2 linked regions of the Xenopus tropicalis genome follow. The protein of the gene in region 1 binds, or shares a complex with, the protein of each later gene. Links are inferred from orthologs where the notes say so. Each region holds a gene or a part of one and is shown on either strand. Other genes may lie near its edges.

Region 1 (4,439 bases):
TGAGCACTGAATCTAAAGTTGCTTTGATTTCAACTCTCTGTTTTCACCTTTGACTTCTGAAGCTTCCTCTGTTTACTGGTTGCATGCTTTCCCTAGGAGAACAGAGTTCTATAACACATGCACCCTTGGGCAAATCTCCTGGAAGCAGGGTTACTGTAGTGCAAAGATTGGGCAAGGAAGGGTCTGAATCAAGTTGATATCAGCCAACTCAAAGGCTGTGCATTATAAAGTATTTCCAGTTTACCTGCAATCAGGACTGAATACACCTGAAATCTAATAATCTACTATGTGTGAAAGAAAGAAAGAAAGAAAGAAAGCAAGCGTGTTGGTGTCTTCCTAATCACAACATATTTCAGAAAGTGCAGAAAGCAAGCTATTCCTGGGCACCAAGCTTGTGAAGGTGTGAGAAAGGATTACATATAGCTTTTCCTCTTGCTGCAGATAAAGGCCAGGGAAATGATAAGGATATTATTTTTATTTGAATCATGTTGTGAAATAAAGGCAGAATAACTGACCCCTATGAACTGTACAATAAACCAGATAGGCACCCCCACCCACACCTGACCAGGCTATGGCAGAGCAGTGGTTTGTAGCGGAGTCAGTAAAACAAGCTCATCTCATGCCATTTTTTGTCTCACATCTGTCTTGTCATTTAAATTCCAAGGGATTAACAAATAATGAAAAATATTATGTGTGTTGGTAGAGGCAGCAAGTATGTGTGTGTTGGTAAGCTAGTAAGTGTGTATGGGTTGGTGAGTGGGGTTAGTAGTGTGTTTATTGGTTGGTTAGTGGGGTTAGTAGTGTGTGTATGGTTTGGTGAGTGGGGTTAGTAGTGTGTGTATGGGTTGGTGAGTGGGGTTAGTAGTGTGTGTATGGTTTGGTGAGTGGGGTTAGTAGTGTGTGTATGGGTTGGTGAGTGGGGTTAGTAGTGTGTGTATGGGTTGGTGAGTGGGGTTAGTAGTGTGTGTATGGGTTGGTGAGTGGGGTTGGCAGTGTGTATGGGTTGGTGAGTGGGGTTGGTAGTATGTATGGGATGGTGAGTGGGGTTGGTAGTGTGTATGGGTTGGTGAGTGGGGTTGGTAGTGTGTATGGGTTGGTGAGTGGGGTTAACAGTGTGTATGGGTTGGTGAGTGGGGTTGGCAGTGTGTATGGGTTGGTGAGTGGGGTTGGTAGTGTGTATGGGTTGGTGAGTGGGGTTAGCAGTGTGTATGGGTTGGTGAGTGGGGTTGGTAGTGTGTATGGGTTGGTGAGTGGGGTTGGATGTGTGTATGGGTTGGTGAGTGGGGTTGGTAGTGTGTATGGGTTGGTGAGTGGGGTTGGCAGTGTGTATGGGTTGGTGAGTGGGGTTGGTAGTGTGTATGGGTTGGTGAGTGGGGTTGGCAGTGTGTATGGGTTGGTGAGTGGGGTTAGTAGTGTGTGTATGGGTTGGTGAGTGGGGTTGGCAGTGTGTATGGGTTGGTGAGTGGGGTTGGCAGTGTGTATGGGTTGGTGAGTGGGGTTGGCAGTGTGTATGGGTTGGTGAGTGGGGTTGGCAGTGTGTATGGGTTGGTGAGTGTGTATAAGGTGGTGTATATGGTTTGGTAGTACTGTGCTGATAGAGGTAGTTAGTAGGGTGTATGGGTTGGTGCTGAGTCTGTACTCCTTTGTTTAACTCTTTGTAGCCCAACGTCAGATGAGCAAGCGACTCATTATTAGCGGAGCTGGGCAGTGTTAGTGCGAGTCAATTAGCGCCTGACGGCGGCGGGGAGGCTAATGGGGCTGCTGGTGCGGTGGCTGCTGGCGGTGAGGAGAAGAGAAGAGGCGGGGTGTATATAATAGGTGGATGCAGAGGGGACTAGAAGTGGAGGATTAATGCCTGGAAGAGAAGACACGCACGGCTCTCGCACTGTTGGGTACAGCCATTCCTTGCGCTTTCCCAGCGCTTTGCTATCACCCTCCTTGCCCGCTCCCTGGCCCCTTGCAGCTGGCTGAGCGCTTTCTCTGTGACTGACAGGAGAGGGGGGAGAGCAGAAGGGGCAGCAGTGCGGGGGGAGGAGGAGGAGGAGGAGAGCCTCATTGGAGCCACTCTACATCCAGCGCTCACATCCTAGCGCCTCTTAGCACCAAACTAGCACTCGCTAAGCTCAAAATGGACGGTACCCCGAACAGCTCCCTTCGATCTGCCGACAGCCTGCTCAATAGCACCCTTAGCGGCTTGGGTGACAATGGCTCTCAGATTCCAATGATATGTCCGGTTGGCGGCATGGGCAACTGGAGCAGACTGGAAGGCAACCAGTCATACTTGTGCAACCAGTCAGAGACTTTCCCGGAGGACAGCGATTCCATTATTATAGCCATCATCATCACCGCTCTCTACTCCATGATCTGTGTGATGGGACTCTTTGGCAACGTCTTGGTCATGTATGTCATTGTCAGGTAAGCACTTCACTCCTGATCATGTATGTAGTTGTATGGTAAGCACTTGACTCCTGATCATGTATGTAGTTGTATGGTAAGCACTTGACTCCTGATCATGTATGTAGTTGTATGGTAAGCACTTGACTCCTGATCATGTATGTCATTGTCAGGTAAGCACTTCACTCTTGATCATGTATGTAGTTGTCAGGTAAACACTTGACTCCTGATCATGTATGTAGTTGTCAGGTAAACACTTGACTCCTGATCATGTATGTAGTTGTCAGGTAAACACTTGACTCCTGATCATGTATGTAGTTGTTAGGTAAACACTTGACTCCTGATCATGTATGTAGTTGTCAGGTAAACACTTCACTCCTGATCATGTATGTAGTTGTATGGTAAGCACTTGACTCCTGATCATGTATGTAGTTGTATGGTAAGCACTTGACTCCTGATCATGTATGTAGTTGTCAGGTAAACACTTGACTCCTGATCATGTATGTCATTGTCAGGTAAGGGCTTAAGCCAGTGCCCCTTCCTTCATGCCTGGCACCCCACCCTGGCATTTCGCAGTCTGATGTCTCTCGCAGGCAGTGGGATTACTGTCGCTAATTGCTACTTACTAGAGATCATGTATTATTTAAGTGGATTCACTATAACACTGTATCACACAGTACATTGGGAAACCCACTCATTGCAAACTCTTGGGAGGAAAGGGGATGTGATCAAATCAAACACTAGCAATGTGAATTGTTTCATTAAGAAGCAATGATCATATGTATTTGCACAGATGTATATACTATCCTGTGTTCCACAAGTATCATACAGTGGGTGCCTTTTCCCTACTACTAGAGAAGGTGCATAAAGTACAATACTTCCCATCTAGATCCATGGTCTTCCTCTATGTTGAAATGAATATAAAGTTTCCCTGTGCCCAGTGGACCTGCCCTAGAGCCAACCTTCCCACAGGTCCCTCTTCCCCTGCTAAATCGTACACACGCTCATCAAAGGCTTGATGCCAGGAGCACTTAGATTATTTTTGGATAATAAATATCACTTATCAAGCTTCTGTTAAAATAAAGCAATAGATGAACTTAGAGATGATAGAATCATTTTGTTCCCATTATCAATACAGTATAGTATAGGTGTTGCTACAGAGAGATAAAGACATTGCTGTTAATTAAAGTAGTTTTATTACATATAACTTTTCCTATACCTATAATGATCAGTGAAACAGTATCAATATGTACACAGTGCCATCTATTGGAAGTGATAGTGACATCCTTAACAGGAATCAGGGAGTACGTTTTCCAGACCAAGCCATTGTGGCTAATAACATTGAACTGGAAAAAAATAGCAAACAAAAGCATTCTGTCCATTTTTTTGTTTTATGTTGGTGGTTTGCACCAAGGGGCCAGTCATACAAGTAGGCTGTTGCTTAATTCTAATTCTGTGCACATGTACTATATACAAGCGACATATCTTGGTGTGCCAAGTCAGCACTAGATGCTTCATTAGAGTGTCAGAGTGCAAGGCCTTGAAGATTATTTGGCTTTAGAATAAACATTATTTTTGTGTTACTTTATGTGCATTTTTCCTTTATTTACCTGTATTATTAGTCAATACAACATATTCCGCAATGCTTTTACAATGATTATACATTATTCCTAACAGTCCCTGCCCCAATGCTTACAGAGCTTACAATCTAGTCTTGATTGCAATCACACACTATGGTCAATTTTATCAGGAGCTAATAAACCTGTGCCTTGTATATTTTCCTTTATTCTTCCACAACAGGACACCTAAGGGCTCATTGACAATCAGTGGAGCAGGGTGCCTAGTCATGGTCACCTAAAGACCTGACTCTTTTTGGATTAATGCAGTACTGCCTGTCTTTAGCAGCACCATATTTATAAAGGGTTGCCTGAGGAAGGCAAGAAGGTGTCCACCTTCCCACTCACTACCTGCCCCCTAAATGGGCTGCCATGTTCCTGCCAGTGCAGAGCACAGTTATACCCCAGGGGCAAAGTGCTGAGTGAATA
Region 2 (4,597 bases), about 110 Mb from region 1:
TTAAAAAGAAATATATATATATATAGATAAAAAATGAAAGTAAAAAACATATAGTCCCTTGTCTAATATAACTGTAGATGATGCGAAACAAAACATTATATATATAATATATATTTTTATATTAGAAATTAATGAATGATAAAAAAGCTTATGAATGTATATAATTATATTATGAATATACTCTTTTTGTGTAGCTTTTTGCTTTCATTCTTACCCCATAAAAGACTTGTATAGAGAGATAGATACATAGGATAAAGAATGAAGGTAAAAAACTTTTAGTCCCTTGTCCAATACAACTGTAAGTGAGTCAAAATAATACATTTTATTATATATTTTATATAGAAAATGAATGAATGGGTTGTGTTTCTAATAGGATCTGTTGTTCTTGTGTTTTCACTTTCATTCTGTTACCCCAAACACATACACACACATATATACATATATATATACTGCATATATATATATATATATGGGAAAAAGAATGACAGTGAAAAACGTTTAGTCCCTTGTGTAATAAAACTATAATTAAATCCAAATAACACATTGGACATAATCTGTATAACTTGCTTGGAATTAAACAACTCTAACGCCGGTGTAGGATACACATTACATATACAGTAAGTTTATCAGAGCCAATAAAACTCACCAAATAAAGAGATAAAAAAGAATAAATATTGATAAGAGGGTTTGAAGAATAACCTTGGTGCCTTTGTATGAATTGTATGGAGCCCCGCGCTGCGCAGCCATTCAGCTCCAACTTCAAACTGTTCTACAGTAAAGTGTTTTCATTGCTGCGACGTTATTGAATAAATATGTGTGTGAGTGTATATATATATATATATTTACTTATTTATTTATATATGTGTGTCTCTGCATTAACCAGTTGCTGCCATGATAGATTCAGTTAACTATAAACTATTTTAGTTGGGATCAAGTACAGGTACTGTTTTATTATTACAGAGAAAAGGGAATCATTTAACCATGAAATAAACCCAATAGGGCTGTTCTGCCCCAATAAGGGGTAATTATATCTTAGTTGGGATCAAGTACAGGTACTGTTTTATTATTACAGAGAAAAGGGAATCATTTAACCATGAAATAAACCCAATAGGGCTGTTCTGCCCCCAATAAGGGGTAATTATATCTTAGTTGGGATCAAGTACAGGTACTGTTTTATTATTACAGAGAAAAGGGAATCATTTAACCATTAAATAAACCCAATAGGGCTGTTCTGCCCCCAATAAGGGGTAATTATATCTTAGTTGGGATCAAGTACAGGTACTGTTTTATTATTACAGAGAAAAGGGAATCATTTAACCATTAAATAAACCCAATAGGGTTGTTCTGCCCCCAATAAGGGGTAATTATATCTTAGTTGGGATCAAATACATGTACTGTTTTATTATTACAGAGAAAAGGGAATCATTTAACCATGAAATAAACCCAATAGGGCTGTTCTGCCCCCAATAAGGGGTAATTATATCTTAGTTGGGATCAAGTACAGGTACTGTTTTATTATTACAGAGAAAAGGGAATCATTTAACCATTAAATAAACCCAATAGGGCTGTTCTGCCCCCAATAAGGGGTAATTATATCTTAGTTGGGATCAAGTACAGGTACTGTTTTATTATTACAGAGAAAAGGGAATCATTTAACCATGAAATAAACCCAATAGGACTGTTCTGCCCCAATAAGGGGTAATTATATCTTAGTTGGGATCAAGTACAGGTACTGTTTTATTATTACAGAGAAAAGGGAATCATTTAACCATGAAATAAACCCAATAGGGCTGTTCTGCCCCAATAAGGGGTAATTATATCTTAGTTGGGATCAAGTACAGGTACTGTTTTATTATTACAGAGAAAAGGGAATCATTTAACCATGAAATAAACCCAATAGGACTGTTCTGCCCCAATAAGGGGTAATTATATCTTAGTTGGGATCAAGTACAGGTACTGTTTTATTATTACAGAGAAAAGGGAATCATTTAACCATTAAATAAACCCAATAGGACTGTTCTGCCCCAATAAGGGGTAATTATATCTTAGTTGGGATCAAGTACAGGTACTGTTTTATTATTACAGAGAAAAGGGAATCATTTAACCATTAAATAAACCCAATAGGGCTGTTCTGCCCCAATAAGGGGTAATTATATCTTAGTTGGGATCAAGTACAGGTACTGTTTTATTATTACAGAGAAAAGGGAATCATTTAACCATGAAATAAACCCAATAGGGCTGTTCTGCCCCAATAAGGGGTAATTATATCTTAGTTGGGATCAAGTACAGGTACTGTTTTATTATTACAGAGAAAAGGGAATCATTTAACCATTAAATAAACCCAATAGGGCTGTTCTGCCCCAATAAGGGGTAATTATATCTTAGTTGGGATCAAGTACAGGTACTGTTTTATTATTACAGAGAAAAGGGAATCATTTAACCATTAAATAAACCCAATAGGGCTGTTCTGCCCCAATAAGGGGTAATTATATCTTAGTTGGGATCAAGTACAGGTACTGTTTTATTATTACAGAGAAAAGGAAATCATTTAAACATTAAATAAACCCAATAGGGCTGTTCTGCCCCAATAAGGGGTAATTATATCTTAGTTGGGATCAAGTACAGGTACTGTTTTATTATTACAGAAAAAACAGGAAAACATATTTTAAAATTTGATTAAAAAGGAGTCTATCTGTAATTTGGAGCTGGATAACGGATCCTATACCTGTATTACAAAATCGTTAAAACCATTTTAGATTTTAAAACTGCTATATTTACACATATTATTACATTTAAAAGCCATTAAAAATTGTTTCATGTCATTATTTAATATCGTTGCCCATGAAATTGCAATGCAGTACATTTTTGAAAACACAGATAAAAGAAGAGCAAACGAAGAGGGAACCTGTTTCAATAAAAGAATATTAAATATTTTTGGGGGGGCTTTTTCTAAACTTTAAAAAATCAAAAGGAATAAAGTAGAGGCAGGGGAAGGCTTAGGTATAAGCAATGTATGAGGAAAGGGAGACTGTATGTGGGAAAGGGCTTTCTTACCTGTTGATTTCAGTATTTCCAAGCTGTGCACTTCTTTGCCTGTGTCCTTCTCTCATCTCCAGGGCTGGTCTTTATATACCACATTTTAGCATTGTCTAGGGGGGAGAAGGGAACGGAGGATCTTCCGGACAGACCTTTCCCAGCAGAAGAGGAGGAGGAGGAGAAAAGTCAGGGTATAAGGTTGCATGTAAGAGACAGAACGGATGATTAGGAAAGAAAAGGTTGCTGGAAAGTCATGTACATGATATCTCCGTGGACAACAGGGATTAGCACCTTCCCTATAGAAAGACAAAGGTTCCCCAATCCCCCGGGATTGAACTTTTTTAACGGAGATTAATTAGAAGCTATTCACCCTTTGCAGTTGGCATTAAATAGCAATAAATGATCAAGGCAAATACGTAAATGGTGTATTCTGAGCGGGTTGAACCCAATTGGTTTTGCTACTCTTTAATTAGGGTGACGGCCAGTTTCCATCTAATAGGGAAAAGCCACTAAAGGAACAGGTGTTGGTCAGAAAGGGCATTTACATGGGGATCAGGGGGGTCAATTGCCTCTATCCACCCTAACAGAATCCACAACAGGTCTTGATTGCGTCGACTACATGTATCAGAAATATCAGGAGTATTGGAAAACGGGTCCCATATTGAACTCTTTAACATGGGCTAAAGAAGCAAAAGTTACTTTTACTACACAGTGGGACAGACTACTAGTTACATATCATTGGCCTTATAGCAAGAAAAAAAGAATAAGTTGAACAAAATTGAAGAAAATGCTATTATAAATTGTAACTATTGAAGCTCTTTCAGTGTTTTCTTTCGTTCCTGTTTCAGGATGGCAGTTGCTCATCTAAATTTGGACTTTCTAAAGTCATGGTTGGCCTTGTACTAGTGGGGTGGGACAGTAGGGTGGGACAGTATGTTGGGACAGTAGGGTGGGACAGTATGTTGGGACAGTAGGGTGGGACAGTAGGGTGGATGGAGTGGGACAGTGGGGTGGGCCAATAGGGTGGAGCAGTGGGGTGGGAAAGTAGGGTGGGACAGTATGTTGGGACAGTAGGGTGGGACAGTATGTTGGGACAGTAGGGTGGGACAGTAGGGTGGGACAGTAGGGTGGGACAGTAGGGTGGGACAGTAGGGTGGATGGAGTGGGACAGTGGGGTGGGCCAATAGGGTGGAGCAGTGGAGTGGGACAGTAGGGTGGGACAGTGGGGTGGGACAGTAGGGTGGGACAGTGGAGTGGGACAGTAGGGTGGGACAGTGGGGCGGGACAGTAGGGTGGGACAGTGGGGTGGGACAGTGGGGTGGGACAGTAGGGTGGGACAGTGGGGTGGGACAGTAGGGTGGGACAGTGGGGTGGGAGAGTGGGGTGGGACAGTAGGGTGGGACAGTAGGGTGGGACAGTGGGACGGGACAGTAGGGTGGGACAGTATGTTGGGACAGTAGGGTGGGACAGTAGGGTGGATGGAGTGGGACAGTGGGGTGGGCCAATAGGGTGGAGCAGTGGGGTGGGAAAGTAGGGTGGGACAGTATGTTGGGACAGTAGG

Evidence for each region.
Region 2: the proteins of oprm1 (region 1) and pomc are in contact, whole or in part, in a cryo-EM structure (PDB 8F7Q), measured with the Homo sapiens proteins. The link is inferred for Xenopus tropicalis from reciprocal best matches to the Homo sapiens genes OPRM1 and POMC. Residues at the interface, in NP_000905.3 of Homo sapiens: Ser66, Met67, Ala70, Ile71, Met74, Gln126, Asn129, Tyr130, Leu131, Met132, Gly133, Trp135, Val145, Ile146, Asp149, Tyr150, Met153, Arg213, Ile217, Asp218, Cys219, Thr220, Glu231, Lys235, Val238, Ile298, Val302, Lys305, Trp320, Ile324; in NP_000930.1 of Homo sapiens: Tyr237, Gly238, Gly239, Phe240, Met241, Thr242, Ser243, Glu244, Lys245, Thr248, Pro249, Leu250, Val251, Leu253.

Annotation. Positions count from the first base shown.
Region 1 is NC_030681.2:43,442,125-43,446,563, forward strand, and holds the start of oprm1 (mu-type opioid receptor), read left to right. Parts: upstream 1-1,639; 5' UTR 1,640-2,128; coding exon 2,129-2,415; intron 2,416-4,439. UniProt on the Homo sapiens protein: Receptor for endogenous opioids such as beta-endorphin and endomorphin. Receptor for natural and synthetic opioids including morphine, heroin, DAMGO, fentanyl, etorphine, buprenorphin and methadone.
Region 2 is NC_030681.2:153,208,481-153,213,077, forward strand, and holds the start of pomc (pro-opiomelanocortin precursor), read right to left. Parts: upstream 3,094-4,597; 5' UTR 3,055-3,093; intron 1-3,054.